Linked DNA regions of Schizosaccharomyces pombe. Each later gene encodes a partner of the first gene's protein in a complex. Each region holds a gene or a part of one and is shown on either strand. Other genes may lie near its edges. The genes, in order: mrpl15, mrpl19, mrp20 and img2.

Region 1 (8,434 bases):
CTGTGAAATACGCTAGTACACGTTTTGACTAGAATTCTTTTAGCAGGAATATAAGCGCTTAAAAAAGGATTTACGCCTTTGAGTAGCATTCAAGCTATTACAATTAAATAGATTTAAATAGGGGCTACACTCTTTAGTTTTCTAAAATCCAATTGTTTAAGTCTAGCAGACACTCCAGAAAGCTAACATAATTCATTTACGACCCTTGATAACAATGTACAAGAAGCTCTGACTAAAATTTTTCAAAGTGAAATGCTAAAGTACGATGTTGTTTGTTACGCTATCTGTTCTATGTTTTACATGGAAACAATAAATGGATTAATTCTTGCACATTTACTAGTGGACAATAAATGGTTCAGATTCAACATTACTATATCACACTTGTATTGCTCGGCAACCTTCAATAACTTCTATTTAAAAATAACTAGCAAGATCTAAACTGGCTCTAGAGTATTCTCGAAGATAACACTTTGTGGATTCCGTTTTGAGTCCAGACGTTCTGTTAACAACATATCCATACGTAAATTGTTAAGTTATTTGTTGGCGAAGACGAGTACTATAAACGAATTTTGAGAAGCTTGGTATAAGTAAATGTTAGACTGTCGAAGTAATACGCCCTATATGTGTTCATGCCAAAAGAAATCAATAATATAGTTGACAATTTGAAATGCAGTGTATAATTTAAGGCAGTAAGAGACGAAAGTAAAGAGGGAAAAGGAAAATCATGTACTGTTATCACTTTATTCTTCGTTGATTTTCTTCTTCTTTATAATCCCACTATATTTGGTGGATTCATAAACTCGGTTGGTCCATGTTTATTTTAATTGATTTTCGTTAGCTATCTTAAAAGAAATTGGGCGGAAGATGCATCATAATGTTTAAACCAGTTTAGTCTGATCAGACACTAGTAAAAACGAGAAAACAATACTTATCTACCAATGAGTTTTCAGGCATCTATAAATATCGTTCTAATAAAAATCGAAAAAACAATCACAACTAACAAGAAAATCTTTTAAGAATTCTCAATCTTTATAACAGTCAATTTTCTTAAATCTAAGCTAATGCTCGCGAAATTCTTTGGTAGCTCTGAGTTAATAAATCAGAAAGACAAAACAAATCATTCAGGTTGAGTACATTTATACAGTAAGATTCCAACCAAAGCTTCCATATATGATATCTTTTGTAAACTTAAGGAAAGAAATAACGAAGCGGAATGTAAACATTTATTAAGTGTTTATACGTTCCAATACGTTAGATCTTATTATAGCGATTATAATATCAATTTCATATCTATCGCCGTATCGTTAATGTGATATAACAATAGGTTGCGATAAGGAAGAGGTTACACGGTCATATAGCCATACTCTCAAAAGATTAGATAAATTAAATTTTAAGTAGTACTACCTCCTTTTTGCGTTGGTTGAAAACTTGAAAAACTGACTCTGTTTTAACAATTCTGAATGGCTTCTTCACAAAAACTTTGGGGCGGTAGATTTACTGGCGCCACTGATCCCTTGATGACAGCTTATAATGAGTCTATTCATTATGACAAGCGCATGTTCAATGCCGACATTGATGGCTCGAAAGCTTATGCTAAGGCATTAGAACAACGCGGAATCATTAGTGCTGATGAATTGGATAAAATGTTAGATGGTTTAGAGGCTGTCCGAGATGAATGGAAGACAAATAAATTCACTCTTCAACCTTCTGACGAAGATATCCATACTGCTAACGAGCGCAGATTGGGAGAAATAATTGGTACAGGCATTGCTGGTAAGCTTCATACAGGAAGAAGTCGCAACGATCAAGTTACGACCGATATGCGCCTTTGGCTACGTGATGAGTTGGACATCATCCAAAAATCTTTAGTTGGGTTACTCCAAGTTTTTGTTGCTCGTGCAGAGTCTGACCTTGATATCATTATGCCCGGTTACACTCATTTGCAAAGAGCCCAGCCTATTCGCTGGTCCCATTTCTTATTGTCTCATGCCTTTTCTATATTAAATGACTTGGATCGCTTGAAACAAATTTATTCTAGAGTCAACCGACTCCCTTTAGGCGCTGGTGCACTTGCTGGTAATCCTTTCGCCGTAGATCGTAAGTTCTTACAAAAGGAACTTGGTTTTGAAGGGGTTATTATGAATTCAATGAATGCTGTAGCTGACCGCGATTATGTTATTGAATTTATGTTCTGGGCTAGTATGGTAATGACCCATATTTCCCGTTTGGCAGAGGATCTTATTATATATTCTACTTCTGAGTTCAACTTCGTTACCCTTTCCGATGCTTATTCAACTGGAAGTAGTATTATGCCTCAAAAAAAAAATCCCGATTCTTTAGAACTTCTTCGTGGAAAGTCTGGCCGAGTTTTTGGCAACATGATGGGCTTTATGGTTTCGGTTAAAGGGATTCCTTCAACATATAACAAAGACCTCCAAGAAGATAAAGAACCGCTTTTCGATTCTTCCAAAACTGTTTTGGATTCCATTCAAATTCTAACCGGAGTTCTTTCTACTTTAACTGTAAATCCAGAAAATATTGCTAAGAGCTTGACTGCGGACATGCTAGCGACTGATTTGGCAGAATACCTTGTGCGTAAAGGTGTTCCCTTTCGTGAAACTCATCATATTTCCGGGTCCGCTGTCCGAATGGCCGAGGAAAGAAACACTACCATTGATAAGCTAAGTGTTGAAGATTTTAAATCGCTACACCCATTATATGAAGAAGATGTTGCAGATGTTTTCAACTATGAATCCAGTGTGGAGAAGCGTTGTGCGATTGGTGGTACCGCTAAGAGTTGTGTATTAGAACAAATCCAAACCATTAAAAAGGCCTTGGAGTAGATAAGTTTACATGAAATGATATGGATATACTTACTTTTTCTATATGTTCGTTTGATCATTTAACAGGGCTTCCTCAACATAATTCCCCGAATCGAGGTTTTTTGGTGTAAAACGGGCAAATAAATAATTGTAGCCTCATAATAATATTTTAAAAACACGTAACTTAAATCTTAAATCGTAAATATTCATACTGAATGAAGTAGTACTTTTAACCTTTCGTCTTTCTCCTTTTAACATTATCATCATCGTCAGATTCCCCTAACTCGTGAATATCTGCTGTATCGTCTTTTGATAATACAAGCCCGAAACCTGCATCAACAATTTGTCCGTCTTTTCCTTTCTTTCGCTCTTCTTCTTCTTTGCGTTCCTGAACTTTGGCAAGTCGATGAATTTGAGACATAAAATTCGTAGGTTTAAGATCGCTATATTGATTTGTATCAAAGACTTTCTTATGATAAGGCGCATCCAATTCATGATGACCTTTAAGCTGAAAAGCATCCTTCGCCTTCAACTCAGCAGGCTCTTTATCATTTTCATGAAAAGGATCATATTCTCCAACCTCCTCGAAAATATCGAGCTTCAAATCAACTGGTGGAAGTGGTATATCATGCTTAACAAAGCTTTTCCCTAAGCTATTAGCGTTCACGTTTAATTTCTCGGTTCTATGTTCATTTTCTAAACGTTCATTATCATTTTTTAACTTTTTTTCCTTCTTCACAAGCCGTTTTAGGATTTCACCATTTTCATCAAGCAAATATTTAACTTTTTTTCCATTTTCCAAAATTTTACGATATTTCGGTTGTCCATTAGGATAAAGAGGTATCTTCTTTTTTTCTTCTAGAATAGAAACAGATTCAGGATGTGATGACTCCTCAGCAACTTTCTCTAAAAGCTTGTCTGCTTCTTCGTCAACTTCTTTCTCACTCGAAGAAAGCAGAGAATCATCCAAGGCTAGCTCATTAGAGCGAACTTTTTCAAGCAATTTTCGATCAAGACCACGCACGAGATGAGTTGTATTCAAATCTCCGCCTAATTCTTTAGATTTTTCTGAATATTCTTTTGTCGTAATTTGGCCATTGCGAAGTTTCTCGTGCAATTTGTGCAACTCAATATCCTGTTTGGAAGAAGGCTCTTCATAAAATTGAGTATCTTTCCCTGAATTTTTTGCATTAGAATGTCTCGTAATGTCTGACGATGTAGAATGACTTAGTTGTTTTCTTTTAATTAGGGCTCTGGGTGCTTCCAATTTGGCCGTCTTATGTTTACGACCAAAAACAAGTCGCTGACTTTTATTCGATGAGAAATTTTTTAACTGGGAGGTTTCGGCTTTTGGAGTAGCTAAAAGCTTTCTGAAATCATCTTGGTTCATTGTGACAAATTTTCAACCAAAACTTCAGTATCCTTTCAATTAATTGTTTCTTTGGAATAACTTTGTAGTAGTTGTTTATATACACTTAACAGTAAAACACAAAATAAATTGTAAATTATTGAAACAGTTTGATAACATTAGCATACCTTGACGTTCGTACACTGTGATCTCAAGCGTAGTGCGCTATTTTACTACTTCGTAATCGGCCAATGTTTTTTAAAAACAACCTATATTCTAGTTGCAGAAAACAGATATCTTTTCTTTCGAAAAGTTGATTTTCCATACAAGGGTTTGAGGAACTTGAAGCTCTTTCTAAGATTTTATGCCATCCGTATGTTAACAAGACATTGTAATCGTTTAGGACTTCAAATTGAAAATAAATTTGTGTTCAGATCATCATCATGGAATTGTGTCCGTCGAATTGGGAAAATTGCGTGTAATGAAAATAAGTACAGATATGAAATGACATCTACAGAAGAAGACATTGACAGCTTTTTCAGTCGTGTTTTTGGTGAAAAAAATTACATCTCAGACAAATCTCTAAGAGAACAAATTGTAACTCATAAATCTTATAAACATGGGCTGAAAAGATATAATGAACCTTTCGTTTCGGTTGGAAATGCAGTTATCGATGTTTGCTTACTTAATCATTATTTGGAATCAGGAAACTTTAGCACAATACCTTCATACAAGGATTTAGTAAATCTTCGTTCCCCTGCTCGACTCGCTGAAGTTGCAAAAAAATGGAATCCTGAAACTGCCACACAATGTATTTTGCCATTAAAAGGGCCTAATTCTCCATCTTCGTCTAGTTTTGAAAAGATATACAGTAGTATTGTTTCCGGACTTGTTGCTGTCGTTTACTTCCAAAAAGGCGGAGTTGAGGCTATGAATTTTTGTAAGAAAAGCATCATATCAGATTTGACAAAAGATTTCGTGAGACCTAATACCGTGCATAATCAATAAGATGTGTAGCAGCAGGATAAAATTCTTTATGCAAAGGATGCCATAATATAGTACATTTTGCCATACGCTTATTATTACTATCGATTTATTTAACGCCTCTTTCATTCAGTCAGTAGTTAATAATATATTTCATATTTATCAACATTTGTATAATATAAGCTGCATCCCAAAATCTTATTGATCGAGTTGTAAGTCATTGGCATCCATTCACAAACTACGTTTTTTAAGCTCCCTTATCTTTTTCAGCATATCTGCTAAACACTGTTTTGAAACCAAACCGTCACGCATATTCTCCTCGTATATTAGATAATGGATATTTCGTGCCCATTGGTAGAGTCTACGACCTTGTTGCAGCTGGCGTCTGACTTGTCCGATGGTAGAAGGAAAAATTGCAAAAGGGATATTTAATTGGACCAAAACTGTTTTCAACATGTTGGCTGTTTCAACACTACACTGTTGATCTATATGCTGAAGGCCTAGCCGATAATAAAGTTGTTTTTCCTTAGCCAGATTAAATCTAGAATCAGGCATATTTAAGGAAGTAAGAGGCTGTGAGGTATGGAAAGTAGGGATGGTAGATGAAGCAGGTGTTGAGTAGCTTTTGTTCTTTTCGATCATTAACTCACTTTCATCTGACAATTTTGCATCAAGATTATTGGTATTAATAACATTTCTTATATCATTTTTTGCAGGGGCTGTAGACCCGTCATTCAGCATAGTATTCTCCTTATTATTTCCTTTGTCAGTAGTCTTTGTGGTTATTGCATTTTTTGAGCTTTCATTTGATTCTTGATCTCCATTTTGAGAAGTATGCCGAAGAATTTGTATCTCTTTACGGGCTTGGGTAAGTTCCTTACGCAAGTGCTCAAATTGCAAAAGAATAGCATCAAGTGTTGATAGCTGAACTCGTATTTCACTTGGAACCGCAATTTGAGATTTTTCATTATACCTTCCGTTGCCTTTAAGGTTAAAATCATTGCTAATAGTAGCAGATCGTACCTGCTTCGTATCAGGTTTTTGCTCTTTAAAGTCTTTTGTGCTTTTAGGGAATCGTTTTGGAGGACAAAGTGGAGTAGAAACAGTTGTTGACATTGTTGTGGGACAATAATCCTGCTGATTCATAAGCAATTGCTTGGTTATATTTTCAATCTGTTTATCTCTTTGTTGGCATTGATTTGATAAGGATTGTATTGTGGCATTCATCTCCAAAACAATATTAACAAAAGAAGGAGGTAAATCGGTAATGGCTTGTTTAAAAGGATCGATGTCTTGATCATTCGACGACATCTGTTTATTATTAGAAAGATTTTCCTGAGCCTTTTGACAATCCGTAGATTGGATAGGTTGACTAATAGAAGAAACACATGTAGATGAAGTAAGAGGATAGCCAGAAGGCGGTACTGGATATGACTCTGGTACAGTTTCCAAATGAACATTCCGATTTTGAAGCTCCGGCTGTGAGAAATGTTGTTGTGGATAACCTGAACTCAAAGAAAAATTAGGCTCAGGATTATATTGATTAGGGCGAGTGACTGGGGGTGGTACGTTACGGCTTGGTGGAACCTGTAAACTTTTTTTAGTCTCTTTAGATTGCTGATTAAACACTTCAGGGTCCAATCCATCTTGTTGATTAGGAACACTAATATTATCTCGTAGCTGTCCTTTTGGACTTTGGTCATAAGAGCTGGTGTGTGATTGAGAAGGTGGAAATGAAGGTGAATTGGAGTGCATATGACGAGCACTAGGTGAATCAATCACTTTCGGGGCGACATTCTTGTAAGGTGTACTAGTATAAGATGCTTTCTCCGAGTTAAACGAAGGCTCATGATGTCTTTGAGCATTTTGACTATTATCACCAAGTTGATGACGCGGATCCAGAAATAAGTTGTTTGAACCTGGTATTTGCTCTAAAGGAAGTCTTGTAGAGTCATTGGGGTTCGAAATTTCTTTTTTGGTGTTTTCTTTAATCGTAGTACTATTTACGCCATTAACAAGCTCACTTATTTGTTCATCGTTAAGTCCATCCAACAATTCAGCTATTCGATCAATTCTAGCGGTACGAGACGGATCTGCATCTACATAATATTAGTTACATTTTCAGTTGACAGACTTTTCGAAAAAGTATATGGACGTTACAGGTGAATACCCTTCAAGCCAAAATGTATGTCATAAACCAATTTCCCTCTTAAAATAGAAAACATTTAGTTCATCTACAGATGGAAGAAGACGGCATGAGTGTAATTACCCAGTGTTTTCAAAAGTTCACAATACAAGTTGACATTAAACTTTACCTACCTTCGTCAAGGGAGTCAAAGTATATACTGTCACCCGCAGATGGATGACTATCAAAATGAGAATGACCTAACCATCGGTAATCTGTACTCAAACTATCACCAAAAGCCTCATCCATTCTAAAACATGATTAAAAGGTTTAGTTTGTGAGTAGCTGACTTAAAACTAATATTGTTACCCAAGAGTGTAAGTCACATGCTCGAAATGTAAATAAACACCAGATAATAACAAAAAGTTGTTAACTAATTATGAGTATATAAATCATTCAAATGTATCATTAATTCTTGTAAATAAAAAGTTTTTCTATTAGAGTTACTAGAAAAAATGAATGAATTTGAAAAAGTGTAAAGGCAGACATAGCCCAAATCCGAACTTCTTGAAAGTAATGATTCTAAAGCCATTATATTTTCTAGTACTTAAACTTTAGTTTAATTTTATATTTATTGGAATTATTTTTTTTTCTAAAATACTCAAGTGCCCATAATCACTGAATTATTTTCTTTTTATTTGTAATAACGCAGCAAATATTTTTCCCAAATCGAGTATATAATAGAAATGTATGCGATATTTTTGTTACTGCAGTATTAATTCTATTTGTTCTAAACATTGTCCATAAAATTCTTTAAGATCACAGCTTTTTAATTCCACAATAGGTTATTTCTATTTCAATAGTTTTACTGGTTTCGTTGTCAATGAAATCAATAGAAAGCCATGAAGTGATTCACAACTTGAAAAAAATTTGTCTTATATTAAAAAATAGCGCTACAGAGCCCTAGTGCCCAAGCATAATCCATTATTTCCTTCGTAATTGCTTTTAAGCTATATAAAAAGCCATTTAAGTTTGTAAGGTTATCTTCAGAAAATTATTTGATAGTCCTTTGATATTGAAAGATTGATCATTGAGCTTTAACGAATGATAAGGATTGATTTTTAACTACAACATTGAAACTCTTCGTAGATCAAC
Region 2 (7,709 bases), on another chromosome or scaffold:
TAACTCATAAGTCAAAGCCAAAATTTGAATATCGGTTACAGAGAGTGAGGAGTAATCACCGGTTTGCTTTGCAAATTCGGAAACTATAGTTTGTTAGAAAGCTGCTACCAAGAATCAAAGTATTTATGATGGAAGTAGTTGAAAAGAATAGCAGGTGTAAGAAAGCGATCAAATTCCAATATGATTAAGCTTTTTCACCCACCTTGCTTTCACTTCTCAGAGATGACTGTGCACAGAATAAAATCTAGCTGGTTGCTTTCTTCAACCACTATACAACTTTCTTTTTAATAAAACATACCTTTTTTTATAAATTCTGGTTTTGGAACTCTTTGAATTACTTGATCGCCCCAAAGTTCAAAATTTTTCCTCGATGTTTCGTCTCGAATTTCTGCAATCACTCGAGGAATGGTATAAAAGCTTTCCGCAGAATTTCTTAATAAAGTACTAGAGCAGATAATCCCACCTGTATCGAGGACGAGATGAGTAATGCTTTTACTCATTTTGGCACTAGTTTACTCAAACTGATGTTTTTCATAGTACTTACTGCACATGTTTGATATATACGCTATGTTGCAGTAAACAATTTAAGGTAAATAAATCACGAACTAAAGCAATGAAAATATTATAAGAATTGAGAGTTACAATAGTCAGAAAATTTAATATGAATTCCAATGCAGGAGTTTAAAGTGCTTTTATTAGAAAACCGGTATGTAAGTTGAACATAGTGGACTTGAAATTTTAAGATATCTTCCACCTGATGCTTAAAGTTAACAATGAAAAATTTCTATCCATGAATGTTTTTACTCAATCAAGTGACTACCAATGTTTTAGAGTTAAAAATATCTGGTGAGCTTGATAGTAACTGATCATGATCTGGCCATTGCTTACAAATGCTTCAAAGAGGCCGTTCGGTTCAACTATTGAGGCTTTAACTATTCTTTTAATTGTTGCGTCTATTAGTTAGTTTCAACCCTCATTTTTTTGGTATACTATAACAAGTAGCTCGAGAAAATTATTGAAAGAGCACAATGTATTGTTTGCGGATATTTAAAAAGGAAATGAAAGTAAAGTACTTTGGTTGGTGTTTTCTCTTGTACATTATATATTCCCAAAACACCGATTCAAATCAATCGGAACAAATTTATATGGCACAAAAAATTGCAATTTAGTGCAATAGCTCATCGAGTAATAGATCGATGACATAGCTGAACTTTCATAATTATTTTACAGTTCTTCGGGGAAAGGGTAAAATTTAGTCATTTCATCTGAATAAGTTTTCAATTTCATGCCTCATAAGTATTTGCACAAGTATGTCAGTAAACATTAGCGGGTCAAATACCAATTTTTTGCATATAGCATACGCTAAAAAATCGATGAAATCTTTATTGTTTAAAAGTATTGGTTTACTCGTTAAACGCTTCAATTTAGCAAATATGTACATATCTTCGGCATAGTTAGCAAGTAACAAAACCATTTATAAGTTGTGGTAGATTGTTAACTAAGTGGATTCGCTTGTGATAACTTAGATTAATCGAATATGATATCTCGGCTTGTATAATTTTAATATCACCTATGCAATAAATCAGCTTTGCAAATATCACGCCGTCTTATACATAAGAACGTTCACCAGGAATCCAAACTAGTCGTACGCTAAAAATAAATTTTTACGGGTATTGGAGATCTTTTGTTTACTATAGTGCGTTAGTTTGTTCACTGCTTCTGGATAATATATATAATTTTCAATGACTTAAAGACGATGCAATACCAAGTATTACCATTATAAAGAAGAAATTAATATTAAATTTAATCCTTATTAACAGTGTGTCACTATTTGAATACTGTCCTTAGCTCCTCCATCTTTCGTTGTAAACGCATTCGAAAAGGCTTCTTTACAACTTAGACAAACAGTAGATAGAATCAGACCATGCGTTAGTATCATTAGTAATTGTAATGGTCCAAAGCATATAATAAAGAGAGATGGCACTTATTTGATTGCTTTCAAAACAAGTTCTATTTAACAAGTTACTTATATATAACGGAAAGCCAAAAATAAACCGTTTACTAGTAAAGAAACCTTTCTGAATGCTCCTATTATTAAAACGCTTTTAGGCTTGAGTGACATATTCATAGTGAAATTTACGCTCAAATATCTTCATTGAAAGTTTATTCTACTGAATATGCTTAAGTGTAAGTATTTGGTCCTTTAAATTGAAGATAATTATATATGAGCCACATAAATATTATTCTCATGTTAGAAAAAAAAATTCTTGCTTTATTTATTTGAGTATTTCCATATGCTAAAACACTCTGTATCATAAAGTCGTCTTCAGCATTCTCACTTCAAAAACTTGTATCCTTTTCAATACTCCATAATTAATAATAAAATAAAGGAACAAAATAACAATAAAATCGTTCATTATTCATTCTTTATCGCTTGAATTTCCTTCCCATGTAGGCTCCCCTTTTAACCTCTTTACACGTTTATTTTCGTACTCCTCGTTCTGTAGATTCAACTGATCTAATAAGATCCTCTATAACAGGTGGTTAATAAAAAAGGAACTGGTGAATGTAAATTCACGAAAAGCAAATGCACTTTGCAGCTGGTTGCCAAAACTTAAATATTGTAAAACAAGATCAGCACTTTACTTACATAATATTCTTCATTAACGTCGACCTTTCTTCTTCTTTTAATAATGTCTAACTCTGCATCCCGGGACAAGGATTTAACTTGTTCATCTCGTCTGTTAAATTTGACTTGGGAAATGGGGATCAAGCATGACCAGACTAATAATACTGAGCTCAAAAACGGCAATCCAACGTAAATAAACGGACTTTTCTTGGCTTGAAGCCTATACCAACTTTTAAATCGATAGAAAAGCATTTTAATTTATTAACATCCTTACATTCGCTGAAAACGATGGATTGTTAAGAATGTGTAGTAAATAGCAAGTTGGTTAAGATGATTATGGCAAACTTCACTCAGCATGTTAGGATGGAAATTAATAAGATAGTCGTTGGTTTGTAATAATTAATTTTAAGAGTAGAGTTTTAATAGAAATCTGCACTTTGAAATCTTTTTATTTCTACTAATTATTCAAGCTGCATCGCGTGACAGCATTCCTACATAGCCCAAGCACTTCAGGTGAAAACCCTTTATAGTTTTAATTACAATACACATTAGGAAAAAGAAACATATCGATGGCATGTGCTAGTGACAGACTGTGACTTCCAGTAAACATGTGTTTTACTTTGTTTACCATAAAATGGTATGTAAAATGTTTATTGAAAGTAATAAAATAGCTGAGAAAAGACCATTTAATTTCAGCTTGTGATTCAAATGAAATAATCATGCTTTTTAGTTAGGATATTTGCCAATCCCTAAAAACTTAATATATTAATTGATAGTAAGGAGTTAACTTTGAAAAGCTATGTAGCTAAATTTTGGTTTGCTTCTTTTAAACGGCTTCAATTCAGCGCTATTGTTGTTCAACAAATGAAAAATTTTGCGACATTTTAACTAATCCGTATTTGAGATTCAAAAATCAACTAAAATTTTTCAAAAAAATCCTAAAACGAACAACGTTTATGAAAACGTCTTTTCCATTTATCTGAGTTGCCTATTTAATGTCAATACTTTTACTTCTATTCAATCAAGCAGAAGAGAAGGACACATTTGGTCTATTCGGGAATTTTTCTGACTGCTATTAAAAGCTTTAATATTACAAATAAGTAAACACATTACAATTAATTCACCCAAATATTTCAAATTAGTTATTATTCTAATTACAATTATTTTTAAGGAAGAACATGTTACTTTATTGCATGAGAGACATACAACTTACAACTGTATTTTCTTCTTTAACCTTATGGCTTCTACTAGAACGACAATCATAAAATTAATTGTACCGGCAGGAAAAGCTACGCCTACGCCTCCAATTGGACCTGCCCTTGGTGCTCGCGGGTTGAAGAGCATAGACTTTTGTAAAGAATTTAATGCGCGGACGGCAGGTTGGATGCCAAATACCCCAGTGCCTTGTAAAATTACTGTCACACCTCAAAGAACATTTACTTTCACTATACATACTCCTCCAACCAGTTGGTTAATCTCTAAAACCCTCGACCTTGAAAAAGGTTCAAGTTCCCCATTACATGATATAAAGGGACAATTAAGCTTGAAGCATATATATGAAATTGCCAAATTGAAAAGTACTGATCCAAGCTTACAAGGAATAGAGCTTCTTTCTCTTTGTAAAAGTGTCATTGGAACAGCTAAAAGCATGGGCGTCAAAGTCGTACCTTAATCTTATGAGACGCCAGAGCATTTTGTAACTGGTCATACTTGAGGTTATTTTTTTTTCTATCTTGTTATAAACTATTCCCCTCTTTTTTCTTGAATAAAAGCAGTTAATGATATGACTTTTTACTATTACCGACTAAAACGTTGTCCCTGTTTTCTTATTTTCTCCTTTTCTTAGTTGTTTTATATTATTCCTTCGTTAAACAAGCAAAGTAAAAAAACACGTTTGCCATATAAAATTAAAGAATTGCATACCGTTAGTTTACAAACACATCTTAGACTAAATGATTACCTTTAGCATTAAACTATCAATATAGATAACGAAACAGATATGCTAAGCAGAAAAGAAAATGAAGATTTTCAAGTGTGAGTTTTATGTTTACTCTAAGTCACGCCTTATGAAATGCAGCTCAATAAAAGAGAGCCTCAAACTCTGTCTATCTATCAAAAAATAAGAAAAAAAAAACCAAGATTAGTACTGCAGAAACGCTCGAAAATAAAAGAAATGGCTTATGCTATAGGGAGGCATAATTGATGCTTGGCTTGAATAACAGCATCACGATCACCAGTATTTTTCATGATATCGTCACTAATCTTCACTGCTTTAGTTCCTTCAGCGGAAAAAAGCTTAATAACAATATTCATAGGTTTGCTCACTTCACTGGGATTGGAAACTTTTTGGAAGTCGCTGGTAAGATTTGTGCCGATGCCAAATGCAGACTTAATGCCACATTTCTCGCAGTATTTGTACAGTTCGATACATCTGTCAACATTTAAAGCATCGCTATGAACAATTACTTTTGTGGAAGGATCGACACCTATTGATTTATAGTGCTTTACGACTTTTTCAATGTATTCCTCAGCACAACCGCTATCTTGACGAACACCATGGAAAACATTGGCTAAATCGTCGGCAGAATTGGCTGTAAAAGATTTGAGAAACACATCAGTAGAGAATGTATCCGTTAAGGCTATTAAAAGACTAGTACCAAAAGTTTGGACCCACTTTAAGGAAGCAATACGATTTGCTTGTTTATAATTTTGAGTAATAGCTGCAATGCCCATATACCACTCGTGAGCAACCGTACCAGAGACATTTAGATTATATTTGGCGGCGAAGTAAACATTAGATGTACCAAGGAAACTTCCAGGGCCCTTAAAATCCTCTTGTGCTTTCATGAGACCTTGGAGAACAATTTCCTGGGTGTGAGGATCACGACGACGACGAGTGCCAAAGTCAGTAAAGGCACATCCGGCTCGGATGAGACGCTTACCCTTCTCGTAAGCTTTTTCAAACTGACCCTCAGGTGACCAGTCCTTATCGACAAATTTAAAATAAGATTCTGAGACGAGAGCAAGCAGTGGAATTTCATAAAAAATGGTATTCTTCCAGAGGCCGTGAATAAAGATTGAGAGATCCTTAGTTTCAGAATCATAATTAAGGGAAATTGAATTTTCAGGATCAAATTCGAACTCATGCATGAATTCATAAAATGATTCCTTTAAATAAGGACAGTTCTTGCGAAGCCATTGCTCTTCTTCAGGAAGTAAATGTAAATTCCGTAAGCCTCTTATTTGTTCCCGTAACCAGTTATAAGCCTCCTGATTTAATGCCATTTTTGGGGACCGGTTTGTATACTTATATGATACTTGAGCATCCGGATAATGCTCTAAAACGGCTTGAAGCATGGTGAGTTTGTAAAGATCCGTATCGAGGATAGAGACAACAGCCGGTTCACTCATCGTAGCAAAAAGGATAGATATATTTTCAAATTATATATTAATATTGGTTGAAAACCTGAGGTGTATAGAACCCGACGAAACTTTTTTATGAAATCAATGAACGTTTGCCGTTAGCGCATTAAAAACGCAAGGAAATCAAAATCAAATAGAATTAAAATTTAAAGTGTCTTGATATGAAAGATATTAATTATAATTTCCCCTACTAATGTCAATTTCAATCAGAACACTCTTAGTCGCAGGAAATAGAAGTCAATTTTTTTGTGAAGGTTTTCAAAATTTTAAAGGGTTAGGATCTTTTTCAAGTTAGTGTCAATTGTCAAATAGATGTGAAACATTATATTTTATACTACATGCGCATGTTATAATGCAGACTCGAAAAGTATACCCGCCAAAATTGCAGGAAATCAAATTATATTATTTTTAACAAACGAGCATACCTTCAACAAACAATTGTACTACTTTAATAGCCTGTAGCAAACAAAACCAATTTGAGGACGAATCTGATCTTGGTAGATTGACATTTTGTATCTTGGCGATGATTTACTTTTTCAAGTAACATCATGGTATTGTTACTTACTTTTATTTACGATGTTAAAATTGTTCGCCTTTTTATGGCATTAGGAATAACTTTTCAATTTGCTTTTCATTAATTGATAATTGAAACTCAATCTTTATACTGGCACATATTTTCTAAAGTTCTTTTCAAAAATTCATTAAAATGGGTTTACAACTAAATATGATATTCTTAAGTGTTTTTCATAAGACCATTTCTAATATATTGCAATTTTAGCAGGACAAAAAAGAGAATTCCAAAAATTTCATTTCCTTTCCGTAAGTACTTGCCTATCCTGACTCTTGTATATATTAATTCAGGAGCATTAGGACGCTCATTTAAAAATCTTCCGGTACAAGTAGTAAGGGTGATAATTTTAAACTTCCATAAAGCACAGAGCATAGCATAACTCAAGTGTTAAAAAATATATTTTTTTGGTCACAAAGAATTCAGAATTTCGTTATTAGCATGTAGTAAAAGACATCACTAAGAAACAGTTCAAAAAAACTAACGAGTAATTTCGGACGAGGTTTTGCGGAAAAAGTAAATTTTTAATGCGCAAAATTGAGATAAAGTACACCCTTGAAATTTTTTAATAAGCTCTATAACGGAAAAGGCAGTCGAGTATATCGTCAGATAAATCATCAATTCACCACTTTTGGACATCAGCTTACTCGGGGCTTTCCAATCCTACACGTCTAGCAGCAAGCTTTACTTTTTCAAGTTCATTTACATTTGCTAACGGATGATGGCGATTAAATAACAGTTCATGTTGATTTCCCGATTTCAAAAATGCAACCACCTCTTGAAATTTTGATAGCTGCTCAACCTTGTTATTTCTAAGACAAGCTTTGGTATATACTAAGAAGTCTTTTTGGGTCTTAGTGAATCCTTTCTTTTGTTTGAGGGTACTGGTCTTATATATTACATTCTGAAGACTATTAATGCTTCGCCCCATACTTCAAAATACTTACCATCTCGCGCAATTGACGCAAAAGTGACCGATAAACAGTAGTAGGAGTACTCATCGTTTAAATTATCTTCTCTTTATGGATCTAAGGTTGGTATTATACCTACAAAATCCTTATGAATGATTGCGCGTTTAGAGAGAGGTGT
Region 3 (8,153 bases), on another chromosome or scaffold:
TAGTTACCCAAAAATATAAATTATCGATGCTTTTTTGACGGCCGATTGTTTTTGGCAAGTCGTTTCTCTTTGAGCTCACGCGCCTTTCTAATTTCAACAGCTGATTTAAGCTCACTGTTCACCTTAATACCTATTCCTCTTTCTTTAGCCTCTCTATTACGTTTATTTTGTTTGTGATAGTTATCACGGAACTTATCAGCTGGTTTTGGAGTCTGTAACTTATTATGTTTATATCGCTTATTTTCCCGTATAGGAGAATCGTTGGCACCGAATGCTTTAGATGCTTTCCATTCATCAAAACGACCACTACGATATGTTGCAGGCAATTTCACGCCGCTTTCGCCACGAATTATCTTGGGAGACCCTTTGGACCCGTCTTCGTCGTTAATTATATTAACAAATTTCTTTTTCTTTGGATCCCAACGTTGTCCCCCCTTCCTTGATTGTTCAATTCCTTCGTCATTTGTTAAATCGAGAATAGCATGACGAGCTGCGGTAGTAAAATTTTCACCAGAATTTATAGCATAGCCAGTTTCTTGAATAGATTCCTTTGGAGCGTAATGAGACATATAATACTCTTTATCTTTAAAATCAGTTGTCTTCTTTTTTGATAACTCCTTAGGATTTTTAAATACCTCTTCAAGCTCTGACTCTGAAGCTTCTGACATATTACCAGGAGAACTGTCAGTGATTTTATCAGATGCAACTTCAGATTTTATTCCTTTTGGTTTTACTTTGTTTCTTCTTTTCCGCATGATTTCTGCAGCTTCTGTCTTTAAGTGACCACGCTGACCGATTTCAAATACTGTTTCTGATGGCCGATAAGAAGAAACTTTTGAAAGCAATTCAGCATATTTCTCCTCGGCCTCAATTACCGATACATCTCCAAATAATGGATTGTTGGAACTCCAGCCCTTGCTATCAACCAATTCCTTAGCTCTTTTAGCACTCTCAGCACTACAAGTAGCTCTTGTGCGAAAATATAGTTTCTCACCCCTTGCAGCAACGTTGGAAAGTTGCTGTAGCTCAACGTCTCTCGAAACTATTCTTTGTACCCATTCTAGTAGCTCAGCAACAAGTTCTTGGGGTAATGATCCCAAAACAATCTGTTTTGTAAAATCACAATCCGAGTCAGTTTTAACCTGCTTCGAGGATGTAACTAAAGGTCGGTTTAAAAATAGTTGTAAGTCTAATAAATAACCAGCATCTTCTGCTCTAACCAATGAATACGCCCAGCCAGTGCGTCCTGCTCGAGCTGTACGTCCTACACGGTGAACAAAAACTTTTGGTTGAGGAGGGAAATCATAATTAATAACATTAGCAAGTAATGGGATGTCAATACCACGAGAAGCTACGTCTGTAACGACTAGTAAATTTGTTTTTCCAAGTCGAAAATTATTAATTTCATTGAGACGCGCTTCTTGGTCCAAAGACCCGTAAATTTTTGAAACCGAATATCCTGCTTGAACAAGTAACTCAGAAACATACTCGACATGATGTTTTGTAGGAACAAATACTAGAGTAGAATCTGGTGATCCAGATTCACTTCCTTTAAGCGCTAATTCTAATGCACGTTTTCTTTTCTTCGGATTATTGACATTTCCTATTTCTCTTGGGCGCACGTTATCTTTTAGAGGAAGCTTAATGATATCTTGTAGTATACATAAGAGAGCAGCTTCGCGTTCAGCGGTTTTAACAGAAAAAAAGGCACTTTGTAGATCCGCGGAAACCTTGGATTCTACATCAAGGCGTACAAGAACCGGGTCTTGAAGTCCAGCCTTTGCAAAATCAACAAGAGTACGTGGAAGTGTGGCAGAGAAGAGAAGAGTTTGACGAGAAGTCGGCAAAGCATGTAAAATCTCTGTCAATTGAGCAGCAAAACCCATTTCAAAAAGTCTATCGGCCTCATCGAAAACGACATACTCGATTGAACTCAACTCCAATTTCATTTCCACCTTTAAATGTAGAAATCTTCCAGGAGTTGCGACCACAATATCGGGTTTTCCGGATAGCAAACTAAATTGCTCCTCTAGACTGACGCCACCGACGATAGCGACAGATCGAAGATCCGTACCTTTAGAAAAGTCTTTGACGACTTTCACAGTCTGAAGAGCAAGTTCTCGATTTGGCGAGAGAATTAAGGCGCGAGTATTAGAGTTTGCTAGAGTGGACTTCAAATGCTCAATCATAGGTATAACAAAAGCTGCAGTTTTACCTGATCCAGTACGTGCCATACCTACAACATCACGACCTTCCAATAAAAGGGGAATCGTTTTGCGCTGAATCGGCGTAGGAGCTTTAAAACCCTTCTTAAATATTGCTCGAAGTAAAGTTTGATTCAATCCTATAATTAAGTTAGAAAAATATCAAAGTAATTTAGATTACAGTGTCTTGAAGCATAATGCAAAGTGACCTTATGGCAAGTAATCACGAAGTTAACATACCCATCGATTGGAAATTAGAAGCCTTTCCATTCCCCTTTTTTCCCTTCGTCCTCCTGTTAGACTCCAAAAGCTTCGAGGCAATATAATTACCATCATCTTCATCGCTCACATTTTCACCAACATTTTCGTGCTTATCTTTTTGATTATCAGTAGCAATATCAACAGGAAAAGCTTTTAAAGAATTTGATATATCGACCTCGTCGGACGTCTGGAATCCGGACATTTAAGACGAGTGAGCTGCACTTTTGTTGATTTTTTAGTTCTCTAGTGTCGCTGGCAAGAAAATTTACCGTATGAATAACAACTATCAAAAGGGCCTTCTTAAGTTTGATTTAACATTCTCATTTCAATTGTTCTGCTGCGTTTCTTTATATTAAAAATAAGTAATCCAACGTATTTTAATAAACTATAACGAACTTGAAATAAGCTGCTTTATATGTCAGCAATACTACACTACGCTACGATATACTACGTTGTGTATCACTATATGTCACATGTTCATAATGTTCTATTTGCTCTATCAGCTTTACATGATAAGTTATCTAGAAGGATATAATATCATTTATGATAAGATGACTATCAGTTATAATCCTTGTTATTTCAAATGTTATAAATTGAGAACAACTGAATTTGATTCCTCAGTTCAGTTATAAGATATCTCAGCTATAGATAACGATATATCCTATATATTAGAATACCTATATCCAATTCCTACTTATACTACTTGCGTATTACAATATAATAGATCACAAGGAAAACTCACCGCAGTTCTACGTATCCTTAAATCAGATACCAAATTGCGTAGCTTACATATATTACGTTCTAGGATAATACAACCAGAGACGTTATTTGTTAATAGTATACAACTGAGCTTTGATGCAATAAAGCAACCGGATTCTCAGCACGTTAGTACTAAACAACATTTGAACTCCGTAATCCAACAAATGGTTAATAACTAATCGTTTACCTAAGGCCGTTGACATCAAATTCATCTTGAAATCTACTGTTGAGAAAAACCATTTGTTTCTCTTTTTTTGCATAACTAGCACAAGTTGCTTTAGCCTTGAAGTTGAAACTCAATAGTAAATATGAGTAAAATTGCTGGGAAAAGATTAGTGTACTTTCCAAATATAACGTTCACGTTATGCAGAGGACTAAATCTTCAACCTAAATTTGCAGTATTTCGCGTACCTCTTCATGTTAACAAGTTTGATGTTCGCGATTATTTGCAACATGTGTACAATTTAAAAGTCGTATCAGTTAAGTCAAGAATTTATCAGGGCAAACTTTTTAGAAATCAACTAGGACAGGTTAAGAGACCACAATCTGAAAAACGCGTCATCGTTGAGATGGAAGAACCTTTCGTTTACCCAAATGCCCCAAATGATTTGAAAGATTGGCAGGAGGGTGAATTACTTCCTGATGGTTCTAATGTGAAAACCCTGAGCAGGTATCCAAAGGTCCTTGAACAAGTTGACATGAAACGGGTGAACGAAGAGTTAAGTAAGTTACAAGATAAGCAGATACTCGAATCACAACAGAAAATCGCTAGACTTTTAAAGAAAAAGTATTAGTATTTTTTTCATTTCCCAGGTAATGTTTTATTTTGGTTTCCGTCTATTCATTAATGCCTACAAAAGCATAATTATAGCCTCAAATGCCTCATCGAAGCGGTATGGTGTTTAATTGCATTCATTATAACCTCTCTTCTTTCATCTATTAAACTTTCAACGCCACTTGTTTCATTTTGAAATGTTCTAAAACTATTTTGGAAATTCTTTTCATGTCGGAAAAGCACGGTCGTCAATTAATAAAATAATAATTTTGTATCACAATACTTCTTAAATGCGTATCTCGCAAGTTCCAGCCCTAGTTGAGTACCTTACCCATTTAATACTTTTGTATTTGCTATTAGAAGGTTCACTGACCCTTAAGTATTGCACATGTAGACCGGAGCTGGTAAACATAAGAATATTGAAATCTAAGGATATTGGAGGCTTCGCCCATATTTGCTGGTTAGTTGTATTAGATAACTCTACCTCAGCGTAAAAAATAAGTTCAGTTTCGCCTAAAAACCGGGGAATTTTCCAATTGATAATATTTTCAGAGGGCTCGTACCCTGCCTTTCCTCGATTTACACGAGGATTAGCTTTTACCACATTTGTGGGAACCGGTATCCGAAAGTTCAAAGAAGAAGAAAGTTTGTGTGGATAGTCTGCTCGTATACTGATACGATAAATAATTTTTTGTTTCGACAACTGTTCGACAATAGGAACAATTCTAAAAGGAATATTTATGTTTTCATGTGAACGATAACTCATTAATTCAACCTCACCATCCGGCGGAATGAAAGTAATTCTGTGTTCATTTTCAAATTCCGGCAATCTAACACATTGATGAAACTGGCAATCTTCTAAAATGACAAATCCTCCGTTAACTGAGGACGGATTTCTAGAGTTATTTGATTTAGACTTGCTTTCTGATTGTTTTAATTTAAAATCAAGCTTATCATTTAGCCCAAACTGACATTCAGGCATTCCAGAAAGCATTGCACGCATTTTCACGACACCAGAAACATCTGAGCGTAGCACATTTCCAGTAGAGCTAATAAGTAAATTCATTCTTTCAACAATATCAATGTAGATACTATTTTTTCTATACTTAATGCCAGCTCTACGCCATGGTACAGACCCTGGTATTTCAGAGGAAGTGGTGTGTGCCAACTGAGAGGAATGAGACCTTTTCAAGGACAGTGCATTGCCTTTCTTTTTGACAGCTGTTATGCTGACAGATCTTGCAAGTGCGTCAGGTTCAGTAGTCTGAATGATACCATAGTCTATCATTTCATCCAGCAACTCGAAAATAAAGGAGACATTGTCTTTGACTGTATTTTCATTCAGTTTCCCAAAATAATGTGTCAAATCTTGAATTAGACTCTCCAAAAATTCCAAAACAATCATAACATTTGGATTTCCTTTGGTAATGGCAACCACGTAAAGATCCTCGTGTTTCGTGTAAATGTAAGTACTTGATCCAATACTGACAATTGGGTGCCGATAATCAGTATTTGTTAGAATAGCAACGCGAAAAATTTCAGTTACTGATTTCCTTTCAAATGAAAAATTAGTGAAAATGAATCAAAAGCACAAAAATGTAATCTACATACTTTAAATCATGCCGAAAAGTCTTGCAAATGAGCGTGTCACCTTTCAGGTTAAAAATAAACAATCCCTAATATAGTTAGCTACAAATAGAATATTAATACTAACCGAAATCATGGAATATTGATAATATGCAAATGTAACAAGTACTGAGTATCTGACTACAGGCAGTTGAACGTAGCTTTGAACGATATGCAACGAAACGTACAGGCTATTCAACCCCGTTATAAGAATAAACGTAGACGGTCCAAGAGGTATTTTATTGCAAATGGAATAGGAGAAAATTATGCCATATAACTGTCAGTAAACAAGATGCTTTTAATAAAATTAAATAACTTTATTTCCTAGTAGGATGATTGAGGCAGTAGCAAGCAATACATTAAAATTTACAGTCCTTACAGAATCATGTAAAAGAGATGACGTTTCGACTGTCTTGCGGTCATTACCAATTTAAATTGGTGAATGTCGAGTAATGTCTTTGCAATAACTAGCAACTGCTGAAGCAATTCTATCTTTGTTTGATATCGCATATTAATAAGATGCTTATAAAGAGGTAAGTAGGTATTTAAATTACACCAACGACTTTTCATTCCTCAACTTCGCTTCTTGCAATTCATAATGCAAGTGGATTTAGTATAAACTAGTATACTTACAGTAATTACATAAAACATGGACCAAGTTTTATCGAAGGTTACAACTACTGCAGCAACATATGCAACAGCTTATGCTGTTAGAACTGGACTTCAATTGGCTGGTTCCCTAGTTGCTAAACGATTCTCTAAATACATACAAGTATGTTGGTTTTTTAAAAATGGTTTATAACAAATTTAGACGTCTGCTCCAAAGTCCTCTCAGTTTAACTTGGAGTTGGTAAAGTCGCGTTTAGAGCAAAAAATACAGGTATGCTACAGGAGCGATTATTGTGAAAATACGCTCTTTACTGAGAACTTAATGTCTGTTAATTCTTGAATTTTGCTTTTCCACTAACTTGAATTTTACAGGCTATTACACCAGCCGTAGATTTAATTCAACTTGTGTAAGTTTCTAATACATCAATACCAAGCTACTGTTTCGTAAAACAATTGACTGTTTAATTCTGTAGTCCGTTATGGTCGATGAAACTAACTTGGAATAGTGCTGCGCGTGGAAATTCAAGTCTTCAGAATTTAGTTCCCTTGATCATCAGGCTACGAGACCATATTGATGATTTTCTAGAGTTTATTGATTATGAAGCATCTGGCTCAGAAAAGAAAAGCCCTGAAAAGGCGGATGAAGCTTCGGAAAAAATTTTCCGCCGTTGTGAAGTATTACTAAGAGAAATTGAGGAGGTAAATTCATGAAGTCAATGATTGTTTACTAATCTGTAATAGACTATTCCTCTAATTAACCTATCATTGACAACGGCGGGCATAACCCTTAACACAGCTTTAAGCAATACTATTTCGCCATCCAGACTCCTTCAAGCTCAATGTTTTTTGGAATTGTCTGATAAGAGGTTCGAAGAAAGTCATACTGAGATTCAAATAGGTCCTAAATTCACCGTTGTGTTGTATACCTCGTTTTCTCAACCTTCCAAATCGGATGGGCCACTGGATGTCCGATGGCAAGAGACATTTGCAAAGTCCGATCTGTATATTAAACGCGTCGTATCTGCGTCGCAAAAGTTTTCTTACGTGATCTGTATAGATGAGGATTTGAATGATGGAAGATATCACGAAGAAACAGTTGGTAAACCGACGTCTGCGCCAGTTTTTGGGAAAAAACTTGAAATAAGTTTACAAAGGATGTCTTTACTTTGTTATACTGTTTCTGGTAGACTGCTTAATATTTCACAAGCTAAATCTCCTGTTCTTGCATTGCAGCTAACATCTATAAAAGACGTATCTGCTTTAGATAAAGCGCATCAGGATAATTCGGAAGATTTAAATAATCCGTTTATTAAAAATAACGATAAAACTAAGTTTCATCAAAATATTGACTGGATAGCTTTAGAGAAATATTTCGAAGTCAATGCATTGGATATTTCAGATTCAGAAAGTGAAGATTTGTCCGACATATTAAGTGATTCTGAATTCTCAATAGGAAACAGAAACAAAAATATTGGAAATAATGAATATAGTGCTCAAATATCATCGGATCCTGCAGAAGAGGAGATAGCTAACGCAATGCACTCTCTAAAGCTTGAACCCGAGACATCCATATATCTGACTAACCCAGGCAGCCTTTCGTTATTGGAATACCTTCTTCGTCTCTGTTCATTGCAAGAACTTCACCAGATTTCTTGTCTTGAAATGACTGATTCTCAGTTGGCTGCGATGTTGAATAGTAACTAAGCACGGGTTAATTTGGATCAACAAGCTCATGTATTTTTACTATTGAACGAAGTTATTTCGAAATAAAATTAATTATTTTTACAGACCTTGTCTACTTAATGACACAATTAACAAACAATCGTTATATTTATAAAATTTTCATAAAAATCGGATATCAGCAATGCTGATTTCAGCCAAAGAACGTATTATTTTATTGTCATGATTAAATGACTTTC
Region 4 (8,589 bases), on another chromosome or scaffold:
GTTCATAACGGTTGTAAGGACCGAGTCTTTCTGATGGCTCTGGTTCTGTTTCCTTTAAAAATAAAATCAATTCGGTTGAAGTCTCATGTTGTTAAATTTCACTTTCGAAGTAGCGAATTTTTTTTTTCTATTTTGAATATAGATTTGTTTATTAAATGTAGTAATCAATTTACTCATGACTATTACTTTTGTCAAACAAAATCATAATACAAAACTAAATCTTTAAAGGTAGAATATTCTCCTGTGCGAGTTTACAATACTTTGGGATATGATCAAATCAATTTTTTTTAGATATCTGTTGAAATTTTTATAACAGTAATTTTGTATTATTTATCATACTATTTATTAGCGTTACCTGCCCTCTTAAATGTACACATCATGTGGGGGTGGGGGAACCAGTGCTGGAGATCACTTCTTGCTATACCGTTTGGCTCATGGCAACTATTGAGGATAGCAAGGAGCGTTACAATTTGCAAATCAATATGATAAACAGAAAAACAACAAGTTGAAGCTTAACACTGTAGCAATATAACAATGAAAAAAATAATCAGAATTAAAGCAAGAAGCCTATAAATGGTCCATCAATTGTGAAATCGATATTGCTAGATGTCAGGCAAATCGTGAACTCGGTTGAAAAATGTCGTTAATATTCATGTGAAATCATAATTACAGCAATATGTTCAAAGACTTTTGGATACTTTATAATAATGAGGATTCTATTTTTGAGTGGTCACATGGTCTCGTAACCATGAGGTACGCCTTACTTTTACGGACGAAACAATATTTCACATTCAGCTCTCAATGTTAAGTATCCAAACAAACATGGTACAAACCAATAAAGCATGTAAATTAATAAGCTTGAAATAAGGAATAGTCATTAAATTCAGTTTAGACATAATGTAAAAGGTATCAATTTTGTCTTTGGTATAGATACAATTAAGAATTTCGAGACGGAACGTTCGGTGATGTAGAGTTTTCATAATAATTTCTGCAGTTGCTTACACTAACCGAAGAATCGTCCAGTATAAACTGCTGACGATGCCTTAAATCAATAATTGCAAATTGCATAGTTGACGTTTTCCCGGGTGGCACATAGTGAGATTTGAGTCGAATAATGAAATAGCCTCTGACGAGTGGTTTCGTACCAAGAGTTTCAAAAAGAATAATCCACATTAACTCAATGTATCATTGATGACGGAATGTTGCTTATATAGCCAGAGTAACCCTGCTCTGAAGCATCTAAGGTTATATCTTTTTAACTTTTAGCTAGCAAACTCACTTGTTCCTTTAAGTTCAGAAAGTATCTGCTGGTTATTCAACAGATAATTATCTTGCGAAAAAGGAATACACACTCAGCATTGTAATTTGTTGAGTATATTTCACAAGCACATTAAATTGCATTATCAAACATGAGTGGGGATATTTTAGTCGGTGAATATCTATTCAAAAGGCTTGAACAATTAGGGGTCAAGTCCATTCTTGGTGTTCCAGGAGATTTCAATTTAGCTCTACTTGACTTAATTGAGAAAGTTGGAGATGAGAAATTTCGTTGGGTTGGCAATACCAATGAGTTGAATGGTGCTTATGCCGCTGATGGTTATGCTCGTGTTAATGGTCTTTCAGCCATTGTTACAACGTTCGGCGTGGGAGAGCTTTCCGCTATTAATGGAGTGGCAGGTTCTTATGCGGAGCATGTCCCAGTAGTTCATATTGTTGGAATGCCTTCCACAAAGGTGCAAGATACTGGAGCTTTGCTTCATCATACTTTAGGAGATGGAGACTTTCGCACTTTCATGGATATGTTTAAGAAAGTTTCTGCCTACAGTATAATGATCGATAACGGAAACGATGCAGCTGAAAAGATCGATGAAGCCTTGTCGATTTGTTATAAAAAGGCTAGGCCTGTTTACATTGGTATTCCTTCTGATGCTGGCTACTTCAAAGCATCTTCATCAAATCTTGGGAAAAGACTAAAGCTCGAGGAGGATACTAACGATCCAGCAGTTGAGCAAGAAGTCATCAATCATATCTCGGAAATGGTTGTCAATGCAAAGAAACCAGTGATTTTAATTGACGCTTGTGCTGTAAGACATCGTGTCGTTCCAGAAGTACATGAGCTGATTAAATTGACCCATTTCCCTACATATGTAACTCCCATGGGTAAATCTGCAATTGACGAAACTTCGCAATTTTTTGACGGCGTTTATGTTGGTTCAATTTCAGATCCTGAAGTTAAAGACAGAATTGAATCCACTGATCTGTTGCTATCCATCGGTGCTCTCAAATCAGACTTTAACACGGGTTCCTTCTCTTACCACCTCAGCCAAAAGAATGCCGTTGAGTTTCATTCAGACCACATGCGCATTCGATATGCTCTTTATCCAAATGTAGCCATGAAGTATATTCTTCGCAAACTGTTGAAAGTACTTGATGCTTCTATGTGTCATTCCAAGGCTGCTCCTACCATTGGCTACAACATCAAGCCTAAGCATGCGGAAGGATATTCTTCCAACGAGATTACTCATTGCTGGTTTTGGCCTAAATTTAGTGAATTTTTGAAGCCCCGAGATGTTTTGATCACCGAGACTGGAACTGCAAACTTTGGTGTCCTTGATTGCAGGTTTCCAAAGGATGTAACAGCCATTTCCCAGGTATTATGGGGATCTATTGGATACTCCGTTGGTGCAATGTTTGGTGCTGTTTTGGCCGTCCACGATTCTAAAGAGCCCGATCGTCGTACCATTCTTGTAGTAGGTGATGGATCCTTACAACTGACGATTACAGAGATTTCAACCTGCATTCGCCATAACCTCAAACCAATTATTTTCATAATTAACAACGACGGTTACACCATTGAGCGTTTAATTCATGGTTTGCATGCTAGCTATAACGAAATTAACACTAAATGGGGCTACCAACAGATTCCCAAGTTTTTCGGAGCTGCTGAAAACCACTTCCGCACTTACTGTGTTAAAACTCCTACTGACGTTGAAAAGTTGTTTAGCGACAAGGAGTTTGCAAATGCAGATGTCATTCAAGTAGTTGAGCTTGTAATGCCTATGTTGGATGCACCTCGTGTCCTAGTTGAGCAAGCCAAGTTGACGTCTAAGATCAATAAGCAATGAGCAAGCTATTGAGAGTGGAATTGGCAAACAAAGTTTCCTTTGATTTATATGTTTTTTATGATAAGCCCATTCAATTCATATAGTCTTTTAGTATAATGATTAGTTATTAAATTTATGTTTAAAGCAACTTTTTAGTTTAAAATTTTTCAAGTCAAGTTAGGGTGTACGTAAACAAACAATACCTTGGAAGCAATGAATGAAAAGGTAGAGTTAATCCAAACAATGTGGAAACCAGTTTCCTTGCATCTACTTACTAGTTTCGCAGAAAAATTGCTAAACTGCTTAAAAGCCAACTTTAACATTCTTATTTCTTACATAGGAGCTACCGTTCCATTCACATTGTGATATGCTAAGAATTTATTAGTTTTACAAAAATTGGGTGATTCTACTATTTAATACAGTGGTTTTGTAACGTAATGAAATTATAACGCTCGTTTATTACGATTTCCTAGGTAATGTAGCGGGTAAAGGCAATTGACTGATATTATGTATCACTCTATCACAGCAACGGACGAACGGTTTGCGTTGTTGTTTATAAATGGTTCTGCAACGCAGCTTCTGACTTTGACACTCTACACCACACCATACTTCAGCGCTCTATTCTTTCGCATAGGAAGGTAAGCTGCATTTCGTGGCGTTTGGTACCTTGAAAAAATATATTTTGGTTAATATTCGTTGGCTTTTTCTTTTAATTCTTGCTACTAATTCCAAGAATTGTGTAAGTATAGGAAGAGGCTGTGTTGATCGGTTAGTTTCGTAATTTCGGCATACTAGTGATTCCTAAAATACCGACTACTAATAATTATAAAGCTTAGATCACTTCTTTGGCTAAAGTAATTAAACCAGGAAGTCTTAAAATTCCGCTTTTTAGCATCCTAAAAATTTCCCCGTCATTTCTCAAAAGTGTTAAACGCGTGAATGTTCTCAAAGCTCTGTTTTCTTTTCTTTGCTTTTTGAACGGCTTTGTCTTTGCATTAATTTTTGTGACGCGTTTTGTGCCTCCAATAGGTAATTAATCTAAATCCGTTTAAAAAGTTGTAGGTGACTTTTTATTTTATTACGTTTTGCTTTCATAAAAAAATCCATTTCCTTCTGTGCGTTGCATATTCATTAATATATCACTTTGATATACATTAAGGTGAATTAGAAATTATTGAGCTCCTCTCCCTTTGTTATTATTTCACGCTTTTTCTCAGGCCCACTTATAGTCCTCTGAGGAATTTTTTATCTTTTTTTTTAAAATACCAACTCAGTTTTTGTCGAGTGATTCTTCTTTTTTATTCATTCATTCGGTTAACTAAGTTCCCTATATTATTTTGTTTTCTACTACAAGCATTACGTTTTGTTTTTCAGTGAGCTTGTTTCGCATCTCTGACCAAAAGGAAGCAAATTGACGGCTAGTGTATTTTTGACTCGTCACATTCTTTTGTCTATCTTTGCCAATTTTTCAAATTATTATATATCTTCGAGATTAACCTCCATTCTTTAGGCTTATTCTCGTAATTTCCTTCTCAATTGAGTTCAATTTTATTAATATTGATTTCATCTGATATATTTTTTCCTTGGACTTTTTCTAGATTATATTTGTTTGCGCGCAATTTACTTATTAAATATGCCTGAAGGAGCCGGTAGACCGTGGAATCTCACAGAACTTGAAGAAGAGAAGTTGAAGACTATGTGGAGTTATTTGTTTAAGCTCTTCGGCATTACTTTACTCGAAAGAACTGAATCTTGGTACACAGTGAAGACACACTTATCTGATGATTCAAGTAGTTCCTCATCACATCGTTTAAGCAGCGTCTCATATGCGAAATCCCGTACACGACTTGAACTAACGTCTTCATCTCATGGCTCGGACACTCGCAGTTTTAATGATAAAACCAAAAATGTGCATTTGGAAAGAGTTGAAAAAATTGCAAGTGAATGGGACCCGGAAGGGCTTAGAGTTTGCTTTTGGGATGCTGTTAATTGTGATGATCCTGATGGCCTTCTACTTCGTTTCCTTCGTGCTCGAAAATGGAACGTTGAGGCTGCGTTGGAAATGTTCATGAAAACCGTTCACTGGAGAAGTAGAGAGATGAATGTTGGTGAAATTGTATGTAACGCTGACCACCTTGATAAAGATGATGATTTTGTGCGTCAACTAAGAATCGGAAAGTGTTTTATATTCGGTGAAGATAAACACAATCGTCCAGTTTGTTATATTCGCGCACGTCTTCATAAAGTTGGTGATGTCTCACCCGAATCGGTTGAGCGACTCACAGTTTGGGTCATGGAAACTGCTCGTTTAATTCTCAAACCTCCTATTGAAACTGCTACTGTTGTTTTTGATATGACTGATTTCAGTATGTCCAATATGGACTATGGGCCATTGAAATTCATGATCAAGTGTTTTGAAGCACACTATCCCGAATGTCTGGGTGAATGTATTGTACACAAAGCGCCTTGGCTTTTCCAAGGCGTTTGGTCCATCATCAAATCTTGGCTTGATCCAGTGGTTGTCTCAAAGGTTAAATTCACTCGTAATTATCGTGATTTGCAACAATATATAAATCCTGACAATATTTTAAAAGAATTCGGTGGGCCTAATCCATGGAGATATACATATCCAGAACCCTGTCAAAACGAAGCAGAAGCTCTGAAGAATGTTGAAGCTCGTAAGAGTCTTAGAGCAAAAAAGGATGCAATTGCTAAACAGTACGAGGAAGTTACAATGGATTGGATTTTGAACAATGGTGACATGGCAGAAGTGAAACAAAAACGTCGTAAGTTAGCTTCACAACTTATTGATGCATACTGGAACTTGGATAAATACATCCGCGCACGCTCAGTTTACGACCGCATGGGCCTAATTGCTCCTCAAACTTCCCATACTTTGCTTCTTTCTCAACCTACAAATGGAGATGTCAAAGAATCAATGGTAGAAGTTACTAGCTCGGCAACTTAGTCGGTCGTAACTTTCAATATTCCTGCTATTTTACATTGTAATCCTTCCCCTTGCCTATACTCCCGTATACTGACTAATTGTACTTTCCCGTGTTATTCTAAATAAGATGCTGGCTCAAAATATGATTGTATCATCTATTAATGCATAACTTTCAAGATCTTTTATATCAATTAGTTACATATGAAATCTCTTTCCTACGTTGATTTTTACACCCCTTTTCGTTTTACCATTTCCTTATCGCTTTAATTTTTTAGCACTCTCTTTAATGCACTTAAAATCATCTAGAAAGGGATAACTTTTTTTAGGTCTTATGGCTTTTCATTGAAGTTGTTGGTCGCAATACTTATCCATCCATTTTGTCTTTATTAGAATCAATGATCAGTTTTATTTGCAAATTAACTTAGATTTCTTGCTATTTATTATTATTTTTTATTTTATTGTAGGAAAGCGGTTCGAAATTAAAAAAAACAACAAGCTGAACACCTAAATGCCTACTCCAAAATATAGTATTAATTTAATGAGTATGCACCTTCGCTGAAGTATATTCCGTGCCGTAAAAATACTTTCGAGTTTAAACACGCGTGAGGTTCAAGCACCGATTAAATTTATTTAAAACAAGAGCGTTTTATTTTATTTTAATTGTTCTTAGTGAATCACTTAATCTTAGGCTCCTGTTTGACAGTTGTTTAAAACTTACAAATTTTTGGAGGTTATGATAGAAATCCTCTTTATTCGCGAATGCACGACGACTTCTTTTACACATCCACCATAAATTCCTGCAACTCGTAGAAAGTTTTGTTGAACCAAATGCGATCATCCTTAAAGCCAGTGCTATCAAATTTGAGGTTCAACTCAACAATTGCATCCGAATCACTTCGGTTTCATGTTTCACGTACACCTTCAAAAAATCTCCCAGTCTATCTAGACTACAAACAACGAGGAACGAAAATTCTGACTTTAATTCGTAAAATCCATGGTGATTCTAATGTAAGTATACATATTCCGTCAGCAGTAATCTCTTGGCTAAAGAAAGTACAAGTAAAGTCACTATGCTGCGGAAATTGTTCTATCAACTTTTTGCTTTAACGGCCAACCCAAGTTTATTTTAACTTCTTTTATTCGTTCTCTTTTTTTTTTCTAACAATATTTTATCAATAGGCTTTGCGGCTCAGGCTCATTTCCACACTTAAAATGTCACCGAAAGATGTTTATGTAAACAAGTTAACAAATCAAGTTGTCCTAAAGGGAAATCACATAGTCACAGTTCGTGAATGGTTACAAGACCAAGGTTTTTAAGTTCCTAGAATTTTTCCTTTTTTAGATTGTTACTATGTATGTACGTATCCTTCTTTCAAAGGAATGATAAAGTTGCTTTTTATCAACATAAAACTCTCGAGCATATATATCAATTTGGCTTTTTAGCATATTACTTTTACTTCATCTCCTTGTTACAGCGGTGATAATGTCAAATAAAACACAGCTGTTGCAAATAATTAATCTCGATTCATTTCTTCTCATCATACGTGGTTTTCAAACTTGACAATGGAAAAAATGCATCTTTTGTGATGGTTTTCCTTAACTACCTTTAAATAAATAGTTATTCGAGCTTCAGTAGAAACATTCAAGAGGTACTTGCGTAAAAAGAAATTCAAACATCTGCTTAATGTGAGGCGTCCAAATGCTAAATACAATCTTTTTTTTGCTACCTATTCGTTTGTTTTGTTGAATTTATAAACGCTTAAAGGAAATTATAATATATATATCGAAACTCCGGTGTTTTTATTTTTTGACTGTAGTTATAGACAGAATACGTTTAAGGCTATTAGGGTATATAACTAAATTAAAAATTCTTTTCTCAATATTGTATAGTTTGTAAATTGACAAATATTAAATGCTATATCGAAAACATACCTTCAAACATAATCTATATATCTGCGTCATACGCCCATGGACTGTTCTTTACCTTTCCCTTCACACATACTTATAATCCTGAAATCTCAACGACTTTTTCATTATTTTTGAATTGAACTTGGATTTGTCTGTGATAGGAATATTTTGACAAACATTTTTAGCTTTTAAAATTTTTGCTTTGTTCTGAAGACGTTGATTTACAATTTGCTTATGAATTAATTATTCACGAGAAGAAAATTCCTTGTAGTTTATCCCTTTTTTATTGGTGATTATAAGCTGAATAACTCTTAATGTTGGGAATTATATTTTCTTTAGTGAACTGAGGCTTTCTCGAAAAATACTTACGGTTATCCATGATTTAATGATTTTCTGTTTTTTTTGTTATTTTTTTTTCGTTTATCAAAAAGTGGTTAAGCATTGACACGATATAAGGCACTTTATTTCCGTGTTGAATTTTTTGTTTTGTTTTTTCTTGACATTAATACCTTACTTTCCTTGAATGCGAACAAACCGCATTCATTTGTATTCGATTATCGAAAGCCTTTTATTCCTTTTCTTTTTCTTTTTTATTAATGCCAGCTTGTTATTGTGCGACATCAACGTCTC

What was found.
Region 2: mrpl15 (region 1) and mrpl19 share a complex: the UniProt entries of both Schizosaccharomyces pombe proteins name them as parts of the mitochondrial large ribosomal subunit.
Region 3: mrpl15 (region 1) and mrp20 share a complex: the UniProt entries of both Schizosaccharomyces pombe proteins name them as parts of the mitochondrial large ribosomal subunit.
Region 4: mrpl15 (region 1) and img2 share a complex: the UniProt entries of both Schizosaccharomyces pombe proteins name them as parts of the mitochondrial large ribosomal subunit.

The regions. Positions count from the first base shown.
Region 1 is NC_003423.3:4,359,794-4,368,227, reverse strand, and holds mrpl15 (mitochondrial 54S ribosomal protein mL57), read left to right. Parts: upstream 1-4,436; 5' UTR 4,437-4,545; coding exon 4,546-5,178; 3' UTR 5,179-5,346; downstream 5,347-8,434. Other genes in the region: arg41 (argininosuccinate lyase), read left to right, coding at 1,461-2,843; SPOM_SPBC1539.02 (uncharacterized protein), read right to left, coding at 3,052-4,212; SIN component scaffold protein Sid4, read right to left, coding at 5,386-7,253, 7,474-7,588. UniProt on the Schizosaccharomyces pombe protein: Component of the mitochondrial ribosome (mitoribosome), a dedicated translation machinery responsible for the synthesis of mitochondrial genome-encoded proteins, including at least some of the essential transmembrane subunits of the mitochondrial respiratory chain.
Region 2 is NC_003424.3:3,202,692-3,210,400, reverse strand, and holds mrpl19 (mitochondrial 54S ribosomal protein uL11m), read left to right. Parts: upstream 1-3,860; 5' UTR 3,861-3,866; coding exon 3,867-4,301; 3' UTR 4,302-4,439; downstream 4,440-7,709. Other genes in the region: ribosome biogenesis protein Nob1, read right to left, coding at 1-83, 299-500; cytochrome c oxidase assembly protein Cox16, read right to left, coding at 2,421-2,531, 2,651-2,881; npt1 (nicotinate phosphoribosyltransferase), read right to left, coding at 4,808-6,040; F1F0 ATP synthase assembly factor Fmc1, read right to left, coding at 7,264-7,524, 7,568-7,621. UniProt on the Schizosaccharomyces pombe protein: Component of the mitochondrial ribosome (mitoribosome), a dedicated translation machinery responsible for the synthesis of mitochondrial genome-encoded proteins, including at least some of the essential transmembrane subunits of the mitochondrial respiratory chain.
Region 3 is NC_003424.3:399,528-407,680, forward strand, and holds mrp20 (mitochondrial 54S ribosomal protein uL23m), read left to right. Parts: upstream 1-3,358; 5' UTR 3,359-3,532; coding exon 3,533-4,018; 3' UTR 4,019-4,285; downstream 4,286-8,153. Other genes in the region: ATP-dependent RNA helicase Dbp10, read right to left, coding at 21-2,344, 2,445-2,667; AP-2 adaptor complex subunit Apm4, read right to left, coding at 4,286-5,552, 5,611-5,675, 5,714-5,722; SPOM_SPAC31A2.10 (Ran GTPase binding protein), read left to right, coding at 6,275-6,397, 6,437-6,505, 6,607-6,641, 6,741-6,933, 6,976-7,938. UniProt on the Schizosaccharomyces pombe protein: Component of the mitochondrial ribosome (mitoribosome), a dedicated translation machinery responsible for the synthesis of mitochondrial genome-encoded proteins, including at least some of the essential transmembrane subunits of the mitochondrial respiratory chain.
Region 4 is NC_003424.3:584,188-592,776, forward strand, and holds img2 (mitochondrial 54S ribosomal protein mL49), read left to right. Parts: upstream 1-6,879; coding exon 6,880-7,059; exon of another isoform or gene 7,060-7,230; coding exon 7,231-7,368; 3' UTR 7,369-7,965; downstream 7,966-8,589. Other genes in the region: pdc202 (pyruvate decarboxylase), read left to right, coding at 1,410-3,125; csr102 (sec14 cytosolic factor family phosphatidylinositol transporter), read left to right, coding at 4,738-6,072; SPOM_SPAC3H8.04 (chromosome segregation protein), read left to right, coding at 8,556-8,589. UniProt on the Schizosaccharomyces pombe protein: Component of the mitochondrial ribosome (mitoribosome), a dedicated translation machinery responsible for the synthesis of mitochondrial genome-encoded proteins, including at least some of the essential transmembrane subunits of the mitochondrial respiratory chain.